2 linked regions of the Bombyx mori genome follow. The protein of the gene in region 2 interacts with the protein of the main gene of each other region in a pairwise test. Links are inferred from orthologs where the notes say so. Each region holds a gene or a part of one and is shown on either strand. Other genes may lie near its edges. The genes, in order: electron-transfer-flavoprotein beta polypeptide; electron transfer flavoprotein subunit alpha, mitochondrial.

Region 1 (4,621 bases), on a different chromosome or scaffold from region 2:
AACACCAGGTGGGGTGTGAGCTCGTCCACCCATCTAAGCAATAAATAAAAAATAAAAAAAATGATGGGTGGACGAGTTCACGGCCCACCAAGTGTAAAGTGGTTACCGAAGCCCTTCAATCTACAATGTTAATACCGCCATTCACCTTGAGATAAGAGATGTAAGGTCTCAGTATAATTACGACAGCTGCCTCAACCTTCAAACCGAAACGCATTACTGCTTCACGGCAGAAATAGCCAAGGCAGTGATACTTGTGCGGACTCACAAGAGGTCCTACCACCAGCAAATGATTTGTTTCGTTAGAAAAGCCTATTAATATATAATTAACCCAAATGTGAAATATTTAATTCTGAATTTCTTAACGATGAAATGGGAGTTTTTAATTAAAAGACAAAAAAGTAAACAATGTCAATAATTACATTAACAATATACATAAAACATGATTCTATAAACATTTAATATAAAAATGTTCCCTATGATTTTTCACTATTGATAAATTAAAAGTTCGATTTACGATTACACATGTCCGCCTTCCTTAAGCTTAGCAACGAGAGTGTCGACATCAGGTATGATGGAGCCAGCCTGTCGGACTGGAGGATCTTCCACAGAGACCACCTTGATACGAGGTGCCAGGTCCACCCCAAGGTCTTTGGCACTTACTTTTTTGAGAGGCTTCTTCTTTGCTTTCTAAAACAAATATAAATTACGGTAGATGAGGATCCTTCCCAACTAAAATAGAGACTGTATATATTCCATGTATTCAAAAAATTTATCATGAATCAATTACAATATTGATAACAACCATGTTACAATTAATAAATTAAATTTTTTATGTGATAAAAATGGTGTGCTGAGAACTAAATGAAAATATTATGATTTTTATTGAAAATATTATGATTTTTATTGAAAATATTATATTTGAAGTTGTTCAACTTATCAAGAATAGTTAGCAATCGTTGTATTGAAAGTTTAAATTGTATGAGGCATTAATCAACTTATCAAGAATAGTTCATCCTTTTCAATTCTCAATGGAAATCTATACATCCAAAACAACAACAATTTATCAGGCACAGCTTAATATGGAACTTGGGGTTCTTTATCTGCAGTGTATCAGTGTATGTTCTTCTAATTTCCATATTAGTATATAACTTTAGAGTTGTATTTACCATGATGTTAGGCAGTGTAGCATATCGTGGTTCATTCAGTCGCAGATCAGCACTCAGTACAGCTGGGATTTTTGTCTTGATAACCTCTAAACCTCCATCAATTTCACGGGTTATAGTTAGAGCACCATCAGTCTTTTCTATCTACAATAAAGATGAATTTGTTACTGTTTATTGTAATTGAAGGTTTGGCTAGGATAATTATGCATATGTCATTAAAATTGTCAATACATTGCTTACAGGCGGCCAATACAGCACACCGGTGGTACAGTTGAATGTATTTATGTTCACTTAAATTGAAGATGTTAGATAATTCGGTAATCCCAATATTGAACTTATGACTTCTTGCATTAAAGAAGAAAAGAGCATCATTTTAAACAAAATTGATGGGTTGTTTTTTTTAATCACTGAATAAAAACTTGTAATAATTGGTTATTATTGAAAACGAATTATAACTTAATTCATTAGTTCTATTTACAAATTATAAAAATTACCTTTGATGCAAATGTTCCTTGTGGCCAATCTAATAAAGCAGCAGTCATCTGTGCTGTCTGGTTGGAGTCATCATCTATGGCCTTAAAAATTAAAAAGAAAGTTTTAGGTATTTATGACACAATGACATAAAAAAATATATGCATTTTTAATTGTTGTTACCTGTTTGCCAACAATAACTAAGTCTGCCTTCTCATCTTGTGACAGTTTTGCTAAGATTTTTGCAACATGAATGGGCTGTAATGTGTCATATTCAGCCCCAGCCACTTCAACATGAATAGCTCGATCTGCACCCATCGCAAGAGCAGTTCTGAGAGTTTCCTTTATAATAAAATAAACAAGCTTTAGCCTCAAAAAGTATGTAAAAAAATTATAATGAGACTATAAACAATTCTTTTACTACTAATAGATGAAATTTATTCTTAAATTAATTTATTATTTTTATAAGAAATTGAAGTCATTAGTGTTAAAAAGACCGATTAGAATAAATTGTTCTTTTTAAATGAAATTTTATTTAAAATGAATTATAATTTTATTAGTTTAACATGAACATTTAACCAATCTGCATTTTTTTTAATGGATACCTGTGCTTGTGATGGTCCACAAGAGACTGCAATGACTTCGCTTGCTAACTTTTTTTCTTTCATTCGAACAGCCTCCTCTACTGCTATCTCATCAAAAGGATTCATTGAGTGCTTCACCCCATCTGTGACTACACCAGACTTGTCTGGCTTCACACGAATCTGAATATAAAATTCATATTAATCCTCTTTGTGATACTAAATTTCATATTACATTGCACACACTTGCCAAAAAACTTATTAATTAATTATACTAACTTTAGTAAGTAATCAACTTTACTATTGAATTAAAAAAAGTCTATTAGGATCTAACTAAGTGCGTCATTTTAAATTTTAGTATAGTATAGTTCGGAGTTAAAGGATTTTATCAGTAATGTAATCTTAATTTAAGTGGTCGAAAAGATTGCCAAGTGGCAAAGGGTCATTAATCAAGGCTATTATGAAAGATTATAGATAAGAATAGCTTAGAAACGCAAAGGTACTATATTCCAAATACAATTGGACAGTTACAGTCTTTATTGGTTATATATGTATGTATATACACGTATTCAAAATTATTAACTATTTATTATTCTTTTATTAATAAAAACGGTGCATAAAAAATAACCTTTGCACTTTCATATAACTTACTTTTACAGCATAGTCGATAACTCTCTTAACGCCAACAAGAACACGAGACATTTTTCTTTTAATTAGTATCTAAAAGGCGTAATAATTAAAGGACTAAATATTAACGAAAACAAACTAACAGGTAGGTACGAAGTCCAAATTTAAAATATCCACAGATTACTAACAAAGAGAGCAAAACTTTAAAACGTTATTAACATATATAATAATCTGTGGAACTTCGCTGGGTCACAGTGTGTCCACTTTTAGAGAATTCTCCTTTTTTTAGGGAAAAACAGTTGATATTTTGGATGGTTAAAGACAATTTGAATAATACAAGGATTTAGGGAATTTCGGGGTAAAACGCAAAGCCTATACTAGTAACCTTGTAGTAAAGTAAATCATAGACTAAACCACTGCTTTTTTCTTAGGAATTCCCCAGAATCCTAATAAGTGTAATCCGCCAAAATTTTATTTACCTATGTCACCAGAACCTACTCGTATTGTAATATATAGGTACTTCATGAACCATGAAAGATTATCGTGGTAATTTCATTTACGAAAACCTTGAAGTTGCCGTTTCACTTTTACTAGCAGTTCCTTCTTCAAAGACTGAAGTGGAAAGATTATTCAGTGTTCTTAAAAATGTAAAAACTGACAAAAGAAACAGGATTTTAATGACACCCCGAAAGGCTTGCTTCATACAAAGCTTAAAATGCTAGCAAACAATTGCTCAATCTTAGAACCGAACAGCGTTATGTTGCGTGCAGCAAAATAATATAAAAGCAATGCGTCGACTTCCCAAAAATTCTAATCCTATAGATCTATGATCTTCTGTGGGCGTTTTGTTATTATATATACCTACATTAAATAATATGCTATGGTTTATTTTCTGTATTTTATTTATGCTTCCTAAACTTCGATCATCAATAGTAACTAGATAAAGGGACACGTACAAAATTAAAGCAAAAGCTGTCCGCGTGAATATACACCTATAGCTACATTCGTTTACTAACAAACGGAGAAAAAAGTTTTGAAACAGTTTTAAGTTCAAACTAATTACAACTATGGTACTTTGTAATAAAGCCACAAATCTCCAAAACATTATCTAATACTTACGATCATTCGTCACATAAAATGAGCAAAGTAATAAATTAATCCTGTCACTTACAAATAAAAAAACATATGTTAAACAATTTTTAATGTTAAATCAACCTTAAGTGACAACAAATAAAGTACTTTTTCCCTTTATTGCTCTGAGAACAAACATCGTTTTGTTTTATTTATTTTTGCTTCTTGAAATTTCGATTTCTGTTTACTACAGGAGGTAAGGGAGTCGCGTTGAACACTAAAATAATTTATTAATGAATAAAAGCAAAAGTTTAGTTGTTTACTTTTTATGTTTTGGAAATTTATGTTTGTTAGTATCTATACATTATTTATTATTTTATTAGCGTTGCGTTTTTGTGTAATATATATTTTTATAGTATATTTTTAAGTTTTCGCGACCAGTGCACATAATAAAACAACGTTTAAACGGTTTCAAGCGCGGTATTTTTATTACAATGTTTCGGCCACGTTTCAGTAGCCGTGAGCACGGAAGACAAAGATGTCCAGTGTCAATGAGCGGAGATCTTAGCTGGCTTATAAAAGTCATCTCTTGTTTCTCTGGCGACAATCGAGATCCATTCTGCACACGTGATTGCTAGGAAAGCTAAAATAAAAAAGGAAAGCTAAGTATCTAATGAGAGTCCAAAAAACAGACACAAAAGCAGCATT
Region 2 (4,516 bases):
GTATGTTGTATATACTGGAACCGCTCAAGGACAGCATTAAAGTGAACAGTTCGTTTTATTGTAAAACGACAATCTAAAACTAAATTCACAAAAGCTTTATATGACATATACATCTATGACATTTTACGACCATAAATCTACCACCTCAATTGATTTTTGTATGAAATTTGTTATATTATGAGCAAAAGAAGTTTCTTTCCAGTCGAAAAAGAAATACATTTTTTAAATAATTTGTATGCTTTTGTGTTAGGAATCATAAAGGAGTTCTATACACCCTGTATCTGTGACATTCTGATAGAGTTGTGTATTCAATGTCAAATCTAAAGTGTATGAGATTCAAAGAAAGCACACCTAATTAAATATAAATTTAATACTAACAGGAGCAACAATCTTGCCAGTCTGTCCAATCTGTAGGTCGTTGGGTACAAAGCCAGCATCGACAGCTGCACGAGAGGCACCCACGGCCGCATTCAACTTATCAGCTAGATCATACAACAACTTGAAGTTGTCACCAGACTTCAAGCCTCGTCCTGTCAAATAACAACATTACACTTTGAATAATTCTGATGTGTAATTTGAATATAATTTTGAAAAGTATCTTTTTATTATGTAGATGTGTGAGCACTCTTACAGGTCATCCACATAACAGAAATAGGCAGCATATTGGTATCTATCTATGAGGGTTTACAGTACAATAATAATGCAGTAAGATAATTGCAGTATTTTAGCAGAACCAGTAGAACCATTCGTTGCTTTTAAGACCTATAAGATAACGAGAGTTTAAATAGTGGAATTTTAGTCCTATGAATTCTACATTACATTAATTTTAAAGTTTCTATTAAATTAGACCAAGCAATTAAATTAAGCATTGATTATTTATTATTATTATTTTTTAACTATAATATCTTACCACCAGATACAATATTCTTAGCACTAGTGAGTTCTGGTCTGTCAGATTTGGTCAATTCCTGCTTTAAAAATTCAACCAGATCAGTCTTATAGTCGCCCTCAGGTGCTTTATCAATTGCTGCAGACCCTCCCTCCAATGGCTCTGCAGGGAATGCTGTGCCACGAACAGTGATGACCTTGATAGGATCTTTGGCCTCAAGGGTTAATATAGCGTTACCTAAAAATATCAATCAATTAATCATTAATTAACATTAATTTCAGTTGAACTAACAGACTGTTTTTATTACCTTCATAGGGCAATGAGCTTATGGCCCATGTGACATTTGAGTGACATTGCTGGCATTACATAAGGACGTTTGCCATTGCCCACCATAGAGAACACTCCCGAAGGCACATTTGAAAAATGAAATGTTTTAGAGCTCAAGGAATACCATGGAGGGAAGTTTGTTGAGGTTGATAAATTGTATAAAAGAGCTCTGGAAATACACTGAGCATAGAGCCAGAGGCTTTACAAAGATGTATGAATAATGAATGTAAAAATGATATATACAAAATGTACATGATCAATAGGACCTCACCAGCATAAATTGTTCTCACAAAGGTATTAGCATCCTTGATACCAATGATATCAGTTATTGGTGACACATCAAGCTTGGCCGCAACTCGTGGCAGCACCGTCTTTCCGAAAGCAGTTGCTGGTGCTAAGATATGAGTGAATTTGAACTGTTTTTGTGTAGCCAAAATCAGAGGAGTCAGGGTTTCAGCAGTAAAACCTTTAAAGACATCACTCTCAGCCACTAAAACTTTAGATATACCATTTGCCTTAGCAATGGATTCTGCAGCCTGAAAGAAGTCAAATTTAAAAGTTTTTTATTAGGAAAATGATAATAGTACAATTATAGGTAAGCTCTGCAATTAGTACTGACTGCACTGTCCCATGACATTACATTGTACTTAATATTTGATATTCTAGCAATTTTTAATATTTAAGTAACTCTACTTTAAATATGACATCCTTCACATACAATAGCTAATTACAGAACCATGGCATTCTATTACAGGATTCTGATTAAAATTGACTTGATATATATTCATATAACGAGATTACATAAGATGCCAATACTTATTATTAATTGGTTCCAAGACTAAAACCCGAAACTGTACTTATTGTTTGTTAAATTAGCTTCAAAATAAAAACATACAGGTCCACATTTGGTTCCAGCCACAAGCACTGAGACATCACCTCCAATTTTCTTGGCAGCATTCAATGTATTTTGGGTTGCTGGAGATAGTACCTCATTGTTGTGCTCGGCGAGCACTAAAGTACTTTGCAAACGACGCAGCTGAAATTAGAGTCGCTATTACAATTCAGTAATATATTAGGAAAATATATTTAAAAATGGGTCTAAATTACTTATGCACCTATTTATTTCTAAAATCCAATTGAACAATAATTATCATAACTCACATCGTGACCTCGACCCTTGAAATTAACATATAAGTTTTAAGACTAATCTCATCTAGAGGTTAATAATCTAAGTTTTAGGATCTCAATATAATAATAAAGTTTCCAACCTGTCCAGACAAAAATAAATGCCTGCTATTGGGTGCAAACATTTTGATAAGCAAGATTTTGTTCAGGAAATCTGTTTTTATTTATTAAATAATTTATTAAACTTAAATCTAGGTTACAAAGTCCAATGTTCAAAAATGACAAGAGGTTTTTATTTGATTCGTGGCTAAGACAAGCAAAGGGAACGAAGTGCATGCCATTTTGTAGGAAAAATAGAAGTCATGTTTATTAAATAAAATGTAACATTTAACGATTGTGCTGGTTGAGTTGATTAAATAATGAAATCAAATTGAATTATAATAGGTAAGATAATATAACAGCTGTGGGATGACATGAAATATATTAAACTCTCTTTAAAGCAGTAGAAATTTATTGAGATTTTATAGAACATGTTGACGTCCGCGTGGCGTTAAAGGCTTATTACACTTGGCTAAATTTACGACTGAATTCAGAAGCAAGTTAGAAACTTCTGATTACACTATTCTTAATTCAGTTACTGAATCAATTGCCAGCTTAAGCGCGACGAAGTTGGACGTGTCGTGTGTATAAGAGGATGGCCCTAGTATTGTCTAGACAACAAAAAATTGGTCTTGGCGTAGTCCTCGCTTTTCTAAATGCGTTTCTAATTAGGCTTCTTAATAATTTAGTCAGTCAGAAACCATCCTTGCTACTGAATTTAGTAGGCTAGCTTACTGAATGCTGTTACACTTCACTGAATTCAGTACCGACTAAATTCAGTCGACTAAATTTAGCCAAGTGTAATAAGCCTTTTATCCGAAAATTTAAAAAGTTACTTGAATCCGAGTTGTACTCGTGTTTTGCCGCGAGAGGTGAATGTGGCTCACTGAAGGTAAATGCAGTACACTATAACTCCTTACACAGATTTAACTCCTTACACAGATTTAACTAATTCGAAATTATGCAGACTAAAAAAATCTAATTTTGCTGAGTAGCACTATTTATTAGATAAAGCGTTGTCGTGAATCGTGATTTTAACTGTAGTCTAGTTCAGTTTCCATTGCGTGGATAACAGATATTAATAAAAACGCTTTTGATTTCACAATAAAGTTATTGATAAATTTCATAGACATATACCGTAAAATGGGGCGACTAGGGACAAATTCCAACTTTATGAGCAATTTTAAGATAGTTGTTGATGTATATAATGCTATATCAGGATCAAAATGATTGAGTCTTGGGGGCATCTTTGTTGTCTAATTTAAAATTATGCAACTAGCATTCCAGTTTAAGCAAAAAATGCAAAAATAGCTGTAATCCCTATTTACCCGAAAATTGCGGTTAATTGGGACGAAATGAGAAATTTGCTAGGGTTGGCACTACTTTCATTTTTATATATAGTTTTAATTAATTTATTTATTTAGTTGCACCAACAAAGTGATCATCAATAAAAAAAATTTAAAAACTGACAAAAGTACATGGCAGACATCACCTCAATTATAGGTGCAATCGATAGTGCTGATATTTCTATCTGGGTTAAGAGATTAGGTGTGTCGGTTATTCCATGGATTAATCAGATGAATACCCCCACTCTGAACAAATATTAAATATTTATTTTTCAAATATTAAATATATTACTTAGACATTTTTGTCCACCTTGAGATTTCATTGATCTTGTTACATGTCTCTGCAAAATCGACTTACTTATATTAAATTGCTTATCTATTTCAACTAAAGACTTATTCCCTATTTCGCTTCGAATAAACCAGATTTTTACCAACAAATTTAAAAAATATTGTTATAACTACATAGACAACCCTACAAACCTGTACCTATTTGTACTTAGGTCGTTTCCATTTCACGTATTCTCATCCCAATTGACCCCTTTGTCGTTGTTATTTGTACCTAAGACGTCCCCAATATCCCCAAAAACAACAGATTTTTACATATATTTTTATTTAATCAAATACATTAAAACCAATAACAACTGAGACTTACCTTTAATATATATGCTGGTTCAAACACTAAATAACGTTTATAAATCATAGTCGTCTTCTATTATTATCAAATAAATAA

The links.
Region 1: the proteins of electron transfer flavoprotein subunit alpha, mitochondrial (region 2) and electron-transfer-flavoprotein beta polypeptide interact in a two-hybrid assay, tested with the Drosophila melanogaster proteins (2 studies listed by BioGRID). The link is inferred for Bombyx mori from reciprocal best matches to the Drosophila melanogaster genes wal and Etfb.

The regions. Positions count from the first base shown.
Region 1 is NC_085131.1:3,928,395-3,933,015, reverse strand, and holds electron-transfer-flavoprotein beta polypeptide, read right to left. Parts: upstream 2,986-4,621; 5' UTR 2,918-2,985; coding exon 2,867-2,917; intron 2,399-2,866; coding exon 2,240-2,398; intron 1,977-2,239; coding exon 1,818-1,976; intron 1,739-1,817; coding exon 1,658-1,738; intron 1,308-1,657; coding exon 1,167-1,307; intron 688-1,166; coding exon 517-687; 3' UTR 414-516; downstream 1-413.
Region 2 is NC_085111.1:13,689,209-13,693,724, reverse strand, and holds the start of electron transfer flavoprotein subunit alpha, mitochondrial, read right to left. Parts: upstream 2,902-4,516; 5' UTR 2,527-2,901; coding exon 2,485-2,526; intron 2,253-2,484; coding exon 2,112-2,252; intron 1,753-2,111; coding exon 1,488-1,752; intron 1,127-1,487; coding exon 911-1,126; intron 531-910; coding exon 379-530; intron 1-378.